3 linked regions of the Drosophila melanogaster genome follow. The main gene of each other region encodes a partner of the protein of the gene in region 2 in a complex. Each region holds a gene or a part of one and is shown on either strand. Other genes may lie near its edges. The genes, in order: eIF3d2, eIF3m and eIF3e.

Region 1 (5,316 bases), on a different chromosome or scaffold from region 2:
CATGTTCAGGTTGATTTGGGTGGCGAACTCCTGCGGCTTGAATTGCTGTGTGCCAAGGATCACGTGACGCAGGTGATCACGCGGATTCATCCTGGACACATAGCCTAACTTCAGTTGATCGGAACCAGCCAGCACAGCCTCAACGGTCCATCGAGCTAGCTTACAAGCATTGTTGCGCAACTCGGAGGCCAAGACTGCACCGCGCTGGGTGTCCAACTTCTGGCGCCACTCCACACTGTTGGTCACCTTGGAGTCCCATTCATTCAGCGCCTTGATCGAGAGGAACTGCACGTCCCCATTGGGTCCTTGGATAACCCCATTGTGCTTGCAGCGAGCAATCAGCACCACATCGTTGCCCAGATCCCACTGACGGTAGCGATAGCCAATGGAGGCAAGATCCACGCCTGGCTCCTCGAACGGATTGGGCTCCTCAAACATGAAACGTGGCTCTTGGTCGCCAATGCGAAGAACCTTTTAAAAATAAATAACATAAGATTTAAAAACGTACAATAACAAATAACATAAATTGAAACCTACTGTAAACCTACCTGCTGGCTAAAGTTGTGATTAATTAGAGTGGCCTCCATTGCCAAGCTATGTGCCGAATTGATGGAACCCTCCTCATCCATCGGAGGTTCTACTGAAGTCTCGTTGACAGTCAGCAAATCAAATTGATCATTATATCTCTTATCTAAGAACACCTTAGTGCCCAATTTCTCGACTACCACATCCCAAGAGTAATTGGAGCGTGTGCAGCACATTATGGTGGACAAGATTTCGTCGGTGGCAAAGACATTGCCCATGGTCCTCGAAAGACGACGAATAACCGGATCATCCGTGGTCGTCACGGTGTGCACAACACGATCCATCTTTTGCAATGGTTTTTCATTGCGTAAGTTGACTCGATCGTATAACTTATCATAAAATTCCAGCCATCCGCAGGTGGCAATGTCCTTACCATCTTTAATATTGGGAAGTGCCAGCTTGAGAAGGCGTGGAAAATCAATCTCCTCGATCGAAACCCAATCCGATTGCACCATCACTGAGCTCTCGCGGATTCTGGTGGGAGCATTGCGACCGAATCTGCGACCCATATTCTGCGTGTTGCGTGTATTGCGACCCTTTCCGTACTTGGTGGTACTGGCAGTTGCGCCTCCAGCCGTGGATCCCCCGAGACTTGCTATATTCGGAGTGCCACGCCCCGTGCGACCCCTGCTCCTCACATTGTTGCGCATATTGGGTCTATAGCGTCCCCGCTGATAGGGCTTGGTGGCCTTCGATCCAGTGGTGTCCACCAAATGGAAGGTGGAGTCATCGTCCTCGTAGAAGTATGCGTACTGACTGTTGTTGCCAAAGGTCGAGGCGTATTTACTGGGGAACTTCTTCTCGGGCACCATCGCAGTCCAGTCGCAGATCTTGCCCAGGCGATCACTTTTGCAGAACGGCTGGTAGGGCACATCCAATTCGGGTACCTCGCAAGGACCCCAGCCGTGCTCGTTGTACTCCACATAGGGCTTGATAAAGGGTGCGTAGTTGGACATAATCACGCCGAAAGATGTTTAAATAACCAAGAGCAAGTATTTACATTTATGTGATCCGGTTTTGTCGAGGTACAAATTACACTGAGCTGATTTCGTATGGCCGGCTTGACAGCTTGGGAAAATTTTCCAAGCCCTACGTTTGGATAATGTTATAATATGAAAAAGGCGGTTTTATCCATTAAGGAAATAACCGAATATCCAATCTTTAAATAATTTTTGATAGACAACTAAAAAGATTTCTTCAAAAGCCTATAGTAAGTAGATTGAAGCCTATTGTGAGAAATCAAAAGATACCAATTCCTCACAATAAAAGCTCAGTCTTATTTGTATTTCTAGTCACACCGAAACCCTATAAACTACACAAAGTGAGAAGTAAGACGTTTGGAGAATGAATCTTAGGAGGACGCCCTGCCCCCAATTAAACACCACCGCAACCACAATGAAGAAATGTGTAATTGCCTGTTCGTCTTTCGGTTCTCCGTCAACGTCGTGCTGCTCTCATTGGCCACGATTATTCTCATCCTCCGCATGGTGAGCTGATCCAGGATGGGCGCGGGGATCCCCTTCCAGCCGACAAATTCTTGTTTCTTATTATCTTTTATAAAAAACCCTCACTAAGCGCACAAATAAATGTTTGTTGAGCTGTGGAAATGGTACAGGAAGCGGGGTACTGTGACGGGATTATCACTTGACGACGCATCTAAGCTCACATCGACATGACTCCATTCATATGACTCCAACTCCAGCACCATTGTTCTGACCCAAGTATCAGGAAAGCAAAGGAACAACAGCGGAGTGCACTACAATGGGACGAGTGTCCTGTGTGCTGGATCTGGTCAACTTGGCTCAGTCCTCACTGTGTTCCGGTTCGGTTTCCTTATTCTTGGCTGGGAGCACCTTACAACAATCTCGTTAAGCGTAAAGGCCAAATTATAGTAAAACTAACAGAAGGCAAAAGGTAATCACATAAAAAGCTTGTTAGATAACAACGTGTGAGGCGGCGAAAAAGGAAGCGGACATCCTGCACTCCGGCTCATACCCAAAAAGCAACATGTCGAGCGTGTGAATGTGCCTGAATGTGTGGAAAATGATATGGGTGCGAGCGGGATGACAGTGGGAGTGCGGTGCCTCCGCCCCTCTTCCAGCACCCAGATCCTGAGCTAAGCTTTGTCAAGCGACAGGGTGTCATGTTGATGTGTATGTCACTGGCAGCTGCTGCTTACATGGCCCGGCTCCAGATTCCCTCGCACTTCTCTGTTGATACACTGCGAGAATATGAAGAGATAATGTCAAATGTAAGAATAGAAGACCAAGAATGCATACCAAGAATATAATAATGGGTTCTGTGGAGCAATAACAATGGGAACTTATTTTGACTGAAATAATTCCTATTTTACCATTGAATTGATTTCAGTGTAGCCATAAGCCGTGGATGAGTGTGCGTCTGAGTGAGTGTATGTGTGTGTGGATTATAATTGCCATGCGGCTGTCAGTGACTGCAGGCGGCGCCTAACTGCACACAGCTGCAGATGTGCGGCTCGTGTTGCAATATCATTTTTAATGCAAACCGCATGCCACATTATGCAGCTGCATTGCCACGTCACCGCTGCGGTTTCTCCATCCCCATCCGCCTTCCGCTTTCCAACCTCCGGATTTACCCTCTCATCTCCAGCTCATCTGCAATCGCTCCTGCCGCTGAAGCTTTTCTTCTGCCACTGCCGGTCTTGTAGGAAAAAGCGGTAGCGGCTTGGTGAAAGGAACACAGCCAAGAATAATGCCCTGGCACATAAGTAAGTACTTACCCAGCGAACAAAAGCAACAAGAACAACAAGAACGACAACAACAACAGAAACTACTACTAGTACTAGAGCAACCAACAAAAATAACAACAGGAGAAGCAAAGTGAAAAACCGCTTGCATACTTTGCGGGGCTCGCGAGCGATAAACGACGCCACTGCAGTGCACTGCCGCCCGCCACCCGCCACCGCCAAACACCTCATCCTCCCCAAAAGGGTATGCTATATTATGAGCACGCGATCCAACTGAAAGTGAAATTAAAAACACATTTTCACAGCACAATTTATATTCAAAATTACTGGGAATTAATGCGCGGAATCGATGGTATTTTGCATTTTTATGGCGACAAATATTGATAACAAGACGGAACACTTAAGCAAAGCTATGGGGTGTCGTTTCAGCCGGTGATATCTATCTTCCTTTGAAAAATACCCTAACTAAATCAATACATTATCCGAAACTGTTTAGAATAAGAAGTTAAATGGCCTATAATAAAGCCCTATGCGTTTTCATAAGCCAAAACGTTAATCAGCTTAAGACAATACCGTATTTATACTTAAGTTTAACAATAAGTATATATATTAATATGATTCCTACAGCGTACCATAGTCAAACTCATTTGATATTAAATATTAAACAAGTTGTCTACCCTTAGAGCCGAGGGTATCAATCAATCGGTGCTCAATTTATTATTTCTGATTTTGTATGGCTCCAACGCGCGTCGGAAACTCGGGCTGCTTCTGCAGCTTTTGTGTTGCATAAAAATTAAAATTTATGCCAGGCAACTTGTGCAAAGCACTGCAATGCCATTGTTTTTCATTCCCCACCCCCAGGATGCTCCTCCACTGCTGATGTTTTTTTGGCGGCGGAAGGACATTCACGTTCTGGGTGGCTGCATTCATTCCCAGCACCCACCCCGACTGCCCCTTCCGCCTACTTGTCAAGCCCACTTACATTCAATTCATTCATCTCCGGCAGAGAAATGAAAATAAAATCCCCCAAAGCTACCTCCTTCTCCACGAAGGCAGGCACCAACGTAATTGCACAGCAATTATACATACTTCCATCGACAAGATGGATACGTAATTAATAGCACATTAAATTGGGCCACAACAATATTAATTGTTCTGATTGATTTATGCAGGTAATTAACGTTTTAACCAACTGAGGGAAATAAATTTCGTCGGAGGGGCGAGCTGTTCTCTTCCACTCATAAATTTTGTCACATCAATCAAATTAAACAGTTCGATACAGTAAAACAGCATGAACGACAAATAGGCGTAGAATCCATCAGGTGTAGGAGTTCTCAAGAATCGGCGAGGGTCTAATATTGGGAATGTCCAGGCGGGTTTTTGGCCTCAGTATAAAATCATTCCGATTGTTCCGAAGAACTCCGATCCATCCCCCAGCATTCCAGCATTTTTCTGGTGGCGTCTTTCGAACTTCCTTTAGGAGTTTCTGCGATTGTCAGGAACACCGAAGAATGGATCTACCAGAGGGAATACTTATGGGCTTTGGCAACCCCCTGCTGGACATCACCTGCACCGTTGAGGATAATGTGATCCTGGAGAAGTACGGCCTGGAAGCAAATGCTGCGATCATTGCTGATGAAAAGCACGATGCCCTGTTTGATGAGTTGATGAACATGGAAAATGTCATCTATTCGGCGGGTGGAGCCTGTCAGAACTCGATGCGGATCTTCCAGTGGATCGTGCAGACACCATTTCGAGCTGTGTTCATAGGGTCAGTGGGCAAGGATAAGCTAGGTGATCGCATCGAAAAGAGGGCCAAATCCGATGGCCTGCTAACACTTTATCAGCTGAAGGAAGAGCTGCCGACAGGTATGATCAAATTTAGTAAAAGAAAAATACCTAGCTGAGCACCTTATGAATAATAAAAAGTTTTGCATAACAAATTAGCTACATTTCATTCGTTTTCATTTCTCAGGCTCTTGTGCTGTGATCATCAACGGTCCAAA
Region 2 (5,316 bases):
CAACGGTATCGATTGGGTGAGAGCCTGTGAGCACGTCAAGGATAGCCAGCATCTGTTTGCCTCGCCGCAGTGCTTGGGCTATAAAAATGAACGTGGTGCACTCTACCCGGAGCTCTGCATGCCCTCCAAGGAGGCGATCATCCGCCAGCTAAAGAGAACCATTAAGAACGTGCGCCAAACTCAGCCGGACAACGAAATCAAATCAGTTTTCGTGGCGTCAGACTCCAATCACATGATTGGTGAACTAAACACGGCCCTTAGTCGCATGGGCATCAGTGTGCACAAGCTGCCGGAGGATGATCCTTACCTGGACTTGGCCATTCTCGGACAGTCGAACCACTTTATCGGCAACTGTATATCCTCTTACTCGGCATTCGAAAAAAGGGAACGAGATGTGCACGGTTTTCCATCGTACTTCTGGGGATTCCCCAAGGAAAAGGATCGTAAGCATACAAACGTGCACGAGGAGCTGTAATGGAGCAACAGGATTATCTACTTAAATACTCGAATAGGCTATTTTTCGGTTTTCTTTCCTAATACTAGACAGTTTTATTACATTGATTAAGCAATATTCTGGACTTCACTTCTTAAATGGTTAAGGTAAAAGTTTCAACTTACAAATTTAATGAATTTACTTTTGAATGTTACCAATATTTAGTGCTTTTAAAGAATATCAGTATATTTATGTTTTATTCTTTTAGCTTTAATTCTTAAAAAGGATTTTAATGAAACCCGTTAAATGCCTTCAAAAACACTACAACTTAATTGTAAGCTATTAAAGTATTCCTCGCATTTATGAAAACACTTGTTTGCTACCGATTTTACTTATAAATTTATTCAAGTTATCCAGCCCTCTCGCATTCTTGAAAATAATTTAGGTCGTCACTCCAGTGCCCCGAGGCCAGCATTTGTTCATCATCAGTGCAATTTTTTGGAAGTGGTGCGCCTAGTGTATCAGCTTCTGGGATCGAGCCAGATCCAGTTGCGCCGAGGAGACGCTCGTTAGACCCTCGCGCACTGTGCTGAGGTTCTCCTTCCATGCCTGCAGCAAATCGCGAAGCTGCTCCCATTGTGGTGCTCCAAAGGTTCGGTGCATTGTCGATGAGATGTGTACCTTTTGATTGGCCTGATCTAGTCGTGCGCGTACCAGCTTTGTTTTCAGCACCTCGATGACGAAGGGCTCCACCTCGTCTTCGTTGATCTGCAGCTCCTTGGTAAGCGTTTCGAATGTCATCTCCGGGCTGCTCTCGGCCAGCTGCATGAAGGTCAGCAGACGCATCTTCTTCATGTTCTGCTCATGGTTCAATCCTTGCGAGTTGACAAACTCCCTGTGATCCTCGTAGAACTGCACGTACGCTGGCAGCTTCTCGGACACGAAGATGGACAGCAGGTCGTGGATGAGGTCGCCTTCCAAAAAGCGCACAGGCTTCAGCGACAGCAGAGGATCCAGCAGGAATGTATTGGGGTCGGCCAAGGCAGTCACAATGCACTTCATGGCATCCTCACGGGCAACACAAGCATTGTCCGCCGTGTAGGTGCCCAGCAGCTCAATCATAACCTTGGAAGACAGCTCCAGGTTGGTGTCCTTGGTCACGTCGTGCAGCAGGCGGTACAGCTTCTGCATCTGTTCCGACGAAGGTGGGCAGTTGGCAAACTGGGATTTGAGCTGATCCACACCTGAGAAGACCTCCAGCACCTGTTCGCACTGCTTGGCCACCTGGACCAGGTGGTAGTACACATGGTAGCGTAAGGGAGAGGCGGTGTCCAGGTTGTTGAACAGACGCCACAACGACTGAAGGCACACCTTGCCCAATGGAAGATTGGGAGCCTTGGTCATCTTCTCGCAGTAGGCCAGGACAATGTTCTCACCGCGATCCAGGGGTATCTGAAATATTGAAGGTTATTTTTTGTTGCTAATATTGTATTCTGTATTACTCACCGTGATCATGATGGACACAATGCTGTTTAGAATTCCATCAATCTGCGAGGGCTCACCATCCTTAAAGCAAACGTCGCAGACGCCGATGATCTTGTGCAAATCATCCTCCACACCTTTATTGGACTTCTCCGATGAGATTTCGGCTCCCAGCTTCTTGAAATACTTGCGCAGCTCTTGCACCTTTTAATAAATTGCGAATAATATTAGTTTTGTTTTGCAGCAAGAGGAAGACATAACCTCAATTCGGGCAAGGCGCCGCCCGAATTCATGGCTAAAACAGGGCACTTTCACTCTACCTGCTCGTCCAGGGACAGGTCTATGAAAACCGGATGCGAAGTCATGGTTTTGTTAAATGTTATTCCACTTTTTTAAACAAATTCAGCTGAAAATAACACGCACACACGTCTTCGGCGCTTTGACAGCTCGAAAGGAAAGAGAGCGACCAGTGCTGCCGGCCTGGTCCGTTTCCCGCTAATAGCGATGCTCTCAAACAATTGACCGAATTAAATTAAGATGACGTTAACGTGGCCACTTAAAATATATAATATTCCTCTGAAATTCATTCAGTTCAATAAAATTAAAATAGTTATGGCTTTGCAAGTGTATTAATGCTGACATAAAAATCAATTTTATAAATGTTTTGACGGGACTCTAGCTAACAATAAATGTGGGCAAAAGTAGTGTTCCCGGATCTTCTGAAACATATAAGTCACTAAGTGACTTCTTAGCCGTACCGTTACTAACGTTCTAAAACCCGTTTCTCCTGAATTTTAAATTTACCATCCAGCAGTTATTTATTTTACATTTATCACTTTACAGTTAAGCAAAATGACACGATTTTTGTTAAATTGTTAATTTGGCGACAGTCTGGCAACTCCGCTGCTACTAAGTTATATTGCTCGCCAAATTTATATTATATTTGTATAACGGGCGAGAAGAGCAGGAGTAATGCCAGCTAATCGGGGCGGAGAATTATGAAATACACGACACACACGCAGCGTGCGGCTTCCTAGAGCCACAGAGATTCCGCAGCAGGCGGTACAACCGTTACTAGTCAACCACTATCCTCAGCAGAACTCGTGATTACATGGCTACATCGGATTTTGTTCTGGGCGGCCTGGCCTCCGTGGGGGCCACCTTCTTCACCAATCCCATCGAGGTGATCAAGACACGGATCCAGCTGCAGGGCGAGCTGGCGGCACGGGGTACCTATGTGGAGCCCTACAAGGGGATTGTCAATGCCTTCATTACGGTGGCCAAAAATGATGGCATTACGGGGCTCCAAAAGGGCCTCGCACCGGCCTTGTACTTCCAGTTCATCATCAATTCCTTCCGGTGGGGAATTATTTAGTAGCTATATTTTATAATTATTAATCATCTTGAATTTACATTCGCCAGGCTCAGCATTTATTCGGAGGCAATGGAGAGGCGGTGGATGCACAACCGGAAGGGTGAGGTGTCCTACGGAATGGGACTACTGTGGGGCGCCATCGGCGGCGTCGTGGGGTGCTACTTCTCCAGTCCATTTTTCCTGGTACGCCAATTGTGGGAATGCTGCGGGAGGTTACATAAACAAATACATAGTTTATCTAAATGAGCCGCGTGCTCATCAGCATTATGGACCTTCCACAGATAAGAGACTTTATTGGCAATTGTCCATCAGTATCTAAATACTACCATTTCAAGATATCCAGGGAGAAAGTATTATACTTCCAAATATTCCATATTTTTTGACTGTTTATGGTTGTTTGCATTGCTTATTACTTTATGACATAACGCATTTATTGTTAGCCTATTTATACCAAGACATTTTCAAGATCTAGAAACAGAAAAATATTCGCTAAATAACTTAATAAGTATTGTAAACATTAACATATTATCACAGTCAATTCTCTTATGTACAATGTCTATATTTCTATATTATTATTTATGGTCCTTTCTTTTGCATCCAGATCAAAACTCAGCTGCAATCACAAGCCGCCAAGCAAATCGCCGTTGGCTACCAACATGCCCATACTTCCATGACAGATGCCCTGCGTCAGATCTACTCCAGGAATGGAGTACGAGGACTGTGGAGAGGATCTGTGGCCGCATTGCCCAGGGCGGCTTTGGGATCAGGTGCCCAGATAGCCACCTTTGGTAAGACCAAAGCCCTGTTGGTCCAGTACGATCTGGTGACCCAGCCCACGTTGAACTCCTTCTCGGCTGGCTTGATAGCCGGATCCATTATGTCGGTGGCCATAACGCCGCCAGATGTAATCACCACGCGTCTGTACAATCAGGGCGTAGACGCCGAAGGACGCGGTCTTCTTTATCGCGGTTGGCTTGACTGCTTTGTGAAAATCCTACGATCAGAGGGCGTTTATGGTATGTACAAGGGGTTCTGGGCCAACTACTTGCGCATTGCCCCCCACTCAACCCTTGTGCTGCTATTCTTTGACGAGCTGGTCGCCGTACGCACAAAGTATAGTAATCAATGACCCCAAAGATCACTGGCTAGGTAGCATTAATTTAAGTACAAAATTGTTAAAATCGTTTTTACCACCCGGAAATATACACATTGCTTTTTATTATTAAGCCAAGCTTTGATAAACAAATTTGATATGCAAGTGCCGCCGCATACAATTTGTTTGTCTAAATCTGGCTTTAGTCTTTAGTGAGTTAGCTTAATGTCCTAGTTCCAATCTCTTAGATTAGCAAAGCCCCAGAACCAACTTGTGCCTTCATTAAGCTAATTTAAGAGCTCTTCCTGTAGCCATTAACCGTGCAATATTTTGGTGAAATAAACCAGTTTAACTGTTACATTTTAACGCATATTGCTCTCAAGTCTTAAGCAGCTAGCTTATCGCAAGTGTGGCGTTAGTGATCACTAGATTGTGATACAGAACGGACGTCTCATTGATGGCTACGTCGGATTTTGTGCTGGGCGGCGTGGCTGCCATGGGCGCTGGTGTCTTCACCAATCCCGTCGAGGTGATCAAAACTCGCATTCAACTACAGGGAGAGCTGGCCGCCCGAGGATCTCATGCTCAGCCTTACAAGAGTGTCTTCCAGGCCTTTGTGACTGTGGCCAAAAACGATGGAATTCTTGGCTTGCAAAAAGGATTGGCTCCAGCGCTATGCTTCCAGTTTGTAATAAACTCGTTTCGGTAGGTTAAAGCTGTTTGTTATCCTACAAGGAGTTTTCCAAAAATATACATATGTGCTCTATCTCTCTATCTGCTCTAGATTGAGCATATACACCCATGCCGTAGAGAAGGGTTGGGTCCACAACAACAAGGGCGAGATCTCATTCGCAAAGGGCATGTTCTGGGGCGCTTTGGGCGGCGTTGTGGGTTCCTATTGTGCCAGTCCCTTCTTCCTGGTAAGCGATTATG
Region 3 (5,316 bases), on a different chromosome or scaffold from region 2:
TTATGTCTACTAAGTAATAGGCTTAGTATTAAGAGTTAATCACATCAATCATTGAATGATTTCTGTATCTTTGCATAACAAAAATGTTAATTTATCTTCTGTCCTTTGCAGATTGCCGGCGTGGCCAGTCGCTGGTCGTCTGGGCCATTACCGAGGGTCGCCAGGCCGCACGACAGGTCGATTCCTATCTGACCGGCCGTCCCAGTGGGCTTCCAGGACCTGGTGGCGTCATCGCGACATCCTAAAGAGGATCCACAGAGGCAGCCAGAGCAGCTAATATCAAGTTTTGTGTGCGTGCATCGTCCTTAGCCTATAGTGCGAAATTCTTTAACGATTTGTGATTTTTATTTTCGCGATTTTAGTTTAGTTTACACTAAAAAGACTTGAGTTTTTTACACACCAAACCAAAACGAAACACGTTTCATTTAGTTTTATTTTGATCGCAAAGCTGGCTGGGAATTGTTAGTGGTTCGTCGAGATGCCCTCCATATGATGATGATGATGATGATGATGATGCGGCAGGAGTCAATTAAGAGTGCAAACTGAAATTCTGATTGAAGCCAATCAATATGTATATCTTAACGGAAATCGAATATCCAACAAAAAATCTAAGGACAATAACTAGAAACTTACCGTTATCGTTAAAATGAAAATTAATTGAACATTAAATATTTAGAAAATGCATTTTTTCAATGTTGTTTTAGCTTGAGTTGCCTAATCTATGCAAACGAAATATATGAAGTGAAAATTGATATGCTGATCTCCACCATCCTATATACAATCCATAAATCGTATATACAGAAAGAGAAATGTATTAAACTCGGCCAATATCGAAACGCATTTTTTAGATGTTGTTTTTGTGTTTTGAACTGCATTCGACCGTTGACCGCAAATGTACCTAAGTGGCTATTGTTAAAACAAATCTGCTCTTTGGCAGTTGAATGTGCGAATACAAAGAATTACACAATTTATACAAAACATATTTAACCCAAATGTATACCCTTATACAGACATCTCTATATAAATATATTTATGTGCAAGTATTTGATGAAATAAATATTCAAATTATTAAAAAGCATTTCTCCGATGAGTTGATATTTGTGTTTTGAATTTGGCATGGGAAATATATTTATTAATAGCTTGAAAAGAGAGGCAACGTCTTTTTGAAATTAAAAACCTTTGTTATATGTATACCTTGTAATTTAAAATTATTGGTATTTTACGTAAAGCGTATAACTTTAAAGGAATGAGAAACCATTGTAATGTAGAAAATATTTAATAATATTTCTTTAAATTCATTGTATGGTAACTTATGTAGTTACCGCTTTATTTAATTACTAAGTACAATATCTTGTTGTTTTATGCCGTAAGCTTGTTACGAGCGGAGCTGAAGTTCCAGTGTGTCCAGTCTGACGATAAGAAGACAGAAGATATCGTCCTCCAGGAAAGGTCTTGGCGTTAGTACCTCTTTTCGCCGTGATGCCAGACCGGGTTTCAGTCTGGGCGCCACAATTGAAATAATAATTTTTTATTGCTATAATAGCCATGCTAAGATAATAGAAATTTTGAAAATTGAGTATTTTTTGAAAGTTGTTTCAATGACTTAATTTTATTTTAAATAAATGCGCCACTTTGAAAGCTTGAAAAAAATACGGCTTCAGGGTCATGGTATTTAATGTCGTGGAAATACCACACTCTGGTAACTCTGAGCGGGCGTCACTCTTTTCGTCTCTGGGCACACTGTCGGCCCTCGCACGCGTATTTTTCTGCCGATTTTGCGTGTAAATTTAATTGTGAAAACATAGTAAAACAGCTGCAATCATGGCCAATTTCGATCTGACACGCATCAATTGCCAGTTTTTGGACAGGCATTTGACCTTCCCGCTGCTGGAGTTCTTGTGCGGCAAGGAGGTTAGAAAAGCGACCAGGCGGTGCTCCGCTGGCGGTTGCCGAGTCACCAGTACATAACTATGGGAAATCTTCATATGTGTGACTTTCGTTGCAGATCTACAACCAGCAGGAGCTGCTGGAGTACATTTTGGAGACGGTGAACAAGACGAACATGATCGATTACACGATGGACACCCGCAAGCGTCTCAATCTCAGCCAGGAGATGCCCGAGGAGCTCGTGCAGCGCAAGGCGGAGGTCCTGGCCACGCTTAAGCAGCTGCAGAACGAGGTGGCACCCATCATGAAGGCCACCGACATTCTTAAGAACGGTGAGAGCATGAAGGACTCGAAGACCTTCGTCAACGCCCTTCAGAAGGACTACAATTTTAAGGTGGAGCACCTGGAGAGCGCCTACAAGCTGGCCAAGTACCTCTACGAGTGCGGCAACTATCAGGAGTCCACCTCTTACCTGTACTTCTGCCTCATCGTCATGTCGCCCAACGACAAGGTGCGTATGGAGCTAAATTAACATGAAAAGCGGCAAAAACCACTAAAACAAGAATATTAATTGATATTGTCTCCCAAATTTTGCAGAACTACCTTAATGTGCTGTGGGGCAAGCTGGCCGCCGAGATTCTGACCCTCAACTGGAACACTGCTCTGGAGGATCTGACGCGTTTGCGCGACTACATTGACAACGCCAACTTCAGCACCATCCAGGCCCTGCAGCAACGCACCTGGCTGATCCACTGGTCGGTCCTGGTCTTCTTCAATCACCCCAAGGGACGCGATCTCATTATTGAGATGTTCCTGTACAAGCCCCTGTATTTGAACGCCATTCAGACAATGTGTCCGCACATCATGCGTTACTTGGCCACCGCCGTAGTCATCAACCGCACCCGCCGCAATGCTCTAAAGGATTTGATCAAGGTGATCCAACAGGAGTCGTACACGTACCGCGATCCCATCACCGAGTTTCTGGAGTGTCTGTACGTGAACTTTGATTTCGAGGGAGCGCGTCTGAAGCTGCACGAGTGCCAGACGGTGATCCTCAACGACTTCTTCATCGTGGCCTGCCTGAATGAGTTCGTGGAGGATGCCCGCTTGATGATCTTCGAGACATTCTGCCGCATCCACCAGTGCATCACCATCAGCATGCTGGCCGATAAGCTGAACATGAAGCCCAACGAGGCTGAGTGCTGGATCGTCAACCTTATCCGCAATGCCCGTCTGAATGCCAAGATCGATTCGAAACTGGGTCATGTGGTGATGGGCACCCAGCCCTTGAGTCCCTATCAGCAGCTGGTGGAGAAGATCGACTCGCTGTCCATGCGGTCGGAGCATTTGGCAGGTTTGATTGAGCGCAAGAGCAAGCAGAAGCAGAATCAGGAGTCGGCCGACTCCTGGAAGTACTACTAGTTGCTGACTTTTTATCCACAATTAAGTTAAGACTCTTTGTACCCTTTAAAAACCGATGATTGCGCGCAGTCGAGCGAATAAATTAACATCTTACTCATTCGCTCAATTCAACATTTGATTTTATTTCCTTCGGAATCAAAATTAGTTATACAAAAAACAATACCAAGGCGGGAATTTGTAATTTCGCTAGCCTACAGAATGCAAACGTCTGCTAATCCTAGAATTAGTTGTTTGTACCTACAAGTGGGTGCTGGATCTTTATGACGATCTGGCCCCGGATCACACTATTGATTGCTACCGCGATTTCTGCTTGACCACCAACCAGGATCTGACGGGCAGGTCCTGCAAGTAAACGATCCATTTGCGCACCAGCAGCAGCCACACTATGCCGTACAGAACGCAAATGCCCGACTCCAAGTAGTACCCATCGAAGGTTATCTCGCACTTGCCAGCCGACGCTTCACAGCTCTGCGGGAGAAAATTAAGAAAAATATTTGTTTAGTTACTTTTATCTCATAACTGGCAAAGTTTATCTTTTCCTGGTTTGGGGTAAAACTTTCACCATACATATGTATCCATATACAATAATAATAATAATCTTGTATGCTGTAGAATCTCTCTCTGAGCACTCACCTGTTGCTCCTCCTTGCCCTGGCAGGTATTTTCCGCATTATTGGAGCACTGCTTCCAGGTGAGCACGTCCACCAACCACAACACCACTGTGTTGGGCCAATTACCGCCCAGATTGCACAATGTGTTCAAAAATGTCATGTAAGTGCCACCGACGGCTGGATCGGAGATCTTGGCGAAAAAGGCCATGGCGGCCACAAACATGGAGTACAGGAATACTTGGTAGATGGCATAACTGGTGATCAGCAGGACGTAGTAATAAGCAGGCACGGCTCCTCCACGGACAATATAGGGTGTGATGTAGGCCAAGCCAGTGGCCACTGTTGCCATGATGATGCGATAGGGAATGGCCTTCAGATAGACGTCCATCGGACGTGGTCCGTTCGTATATCGACCGACCGCCAGCGGCAGAATGAGCTGCAGAGGAATTAGGGGAATGGCGAGTAAAGCCAGCTTATCCTTCGGTACACCAGCGTCAATGAGTTTTAAGCTGGTCACTGCATCAGAGGCTGCGAACGTGACCTTCACGGTGAGCAGAATTACAGCCAGAATTTGGACGGGACGCATGCACACCATGTCCCACAATATCTTGTAGCTCTCATGGATGTTCAACTCGTGCTCCTCCGTGTAGCGAGCGTCCATATGCGCGTCTTCGATGTCGTTCTCCTTCTTGAAAATTGCCACCAAAGTAGTGGCTACCACAAATGTAATGCCCCAGAACCAAAGGAAACGGGGCAATGTGATCATGCCATCCTCGAGTGGCACGTCTCTTATGTAGGTGTTGCAGAAATCCTTGGACTCCAGGGCAATGAACACCACATAGCCCAAGAAGTAGCCAGCTGTTTGGCCCACGCTATTGCAGGTGGATGCGTATCCAACATTGCATCGCTTCAGCATGGTCAAGGCCCAGCCATCCACGGCGATGTCCTGAGTGGCAGCCAGGAAGTTAAGCAGGAAGAAGAGCAGCGTCAGGAGCGGCACATTGGGATCGACACCGTTCCCGCCCAGCCAGCGATCCACGTGGAGGGAGAGGAGTAACATAAAGGCTCCCAGAAGGTATTGCACTGGGACTAGCCACGATTTCCGGCGTCCAAATCGCCGGATGTACAGGGAATCCACAATTGGAGCCCACAGCAGCTTTAAGCTGAATGGCCAGTAGGCGAATGAAAACTCCGCCTGTTGTTTGTAGCTAGCTCCTCTATTTTGCAGCAACATTGGTATGGCTGCTATGAGCCCGATGGGAATGCCCTGTAGAACGTACAGGAACAGCAGTATGGCTATATTCCTCCGGTCTCCACGAATATCTGGTTTCTGGTGCTCCGCCACCTTTTCCGACTTTGGTGGCTCGTCGATGAGCAACTCCTGGTCGGCATTGCT

The links.
Region 1: eIF3m (region 2) and eIF3d2 share a complex: the UniProt entries of both Drosophila melanogaster proteins name them as parts of the eukaryotic translation initiation factor 3 (eIF-3) complex.
Region 3: eIF3m (region 2) and eIF3e share a complex: the UniProt entries of both Drosophila melanogaster proteins name them as parts of the eukaryotic translation initiation factor 3 (eIF-3) complex.

What each region holds. Positions count from the first base shown.
Region 1 is NT_033777.3:12,193,412-12,198,727, forward strand, and holds the start of eIF3d2 (eukaryotic translation initiation factor 3 subunit d2), read right to left. Parts: upstream 1,601-5,316; 5' UTR 1,542-1,600; coding exon 549-1,541; intron 472-548; coding exon 1-471. Other genes in the region: CG43450 (uncharacterized protein), read left to right, coding at 1,930-2,076; Adk1 (adenosine kinase 1), read left to right, coding at 4,675-5,179, 5,286-5,316. UniProt on the Drosophila melanogaster protein: mRNA cap-binding component of the eukaryotic translation initiation factor 3 (eIF-3) complex, which is involved in protein synthesis of a specialized repertoire of mRNAs and, together with other initiation factors, stimulates binding of mRNA and methionyl-tRNAi to the 40S ribosome.
Region 2 is NT_033778.4:14,162,252-14,167,567, forward strand, and holds eIF3m (eukaryotic translation initiation factor 3 subunit m), read right to left. Parts: upstream 2,575-5,316; 5' UTR 2,281-2,574; coding exon 2,236-2,280; intron 2,120-2,235; coding exon 1,940-2,119; intron 1,886-1,939; coding exon 947-1,885; 3' UTR 815-946; downstream 1-814. Other genes in the region: O-fut1 (O-fucosyltransferase 1), read left to right, coding at 1-475; CG8323 (uncharacterized protein), read left to right, coding at 3,027-3,274, 3,338-3,473, 3,892-4,419; CG18327 (uncharacterized protein), read left to right, coding at 4,841-5,088, 5,168-5,303. UniProt on the Drosophila melanogaster protein: Component of the eukaryotic translation initiation factor 3 (eIF-3) complex, which is involved in protein synthesis of a specialized repertoire of mRNAs and, together with other initiation factors, stimulates binding of mRNA and methionyl-tRNAi to the 40S ribosome.
Region 3 is NT_037436.4:16,783,339-16,788,654, reverse strand, and holds eIF3e (eukaryotic translation initiation factor 3 subunit e), read left to right. Parts: upstream 1-1,713; 5' UTR 1,714-1,821; coding exon 1,822-1,911; intron 1,912-2,005; coding exon 2,006-2,398; intron 2,399-2,484; coding exon 2,485-3,309; 3' UTR 3,310-3,413; downstream 3,414-5,316. Other genes in the region: CG9674 (uncharacterized protein), read left to right, coding at 112-245; CG9706 (uncharacterized protein), read right to left, coding at 3,604-3,777, 3,943-5,316. UniProt on the Drosophila melanogaster protein: Component of the eukaryotic translation initiation factor 3 (eIF-3) complex, which is involved in protein synthesis of a specialized repertoire of mRNAs and, together with other initiation factors, stimulates binding of mRNA and methionyl-tRNAi to the 40S ribosome.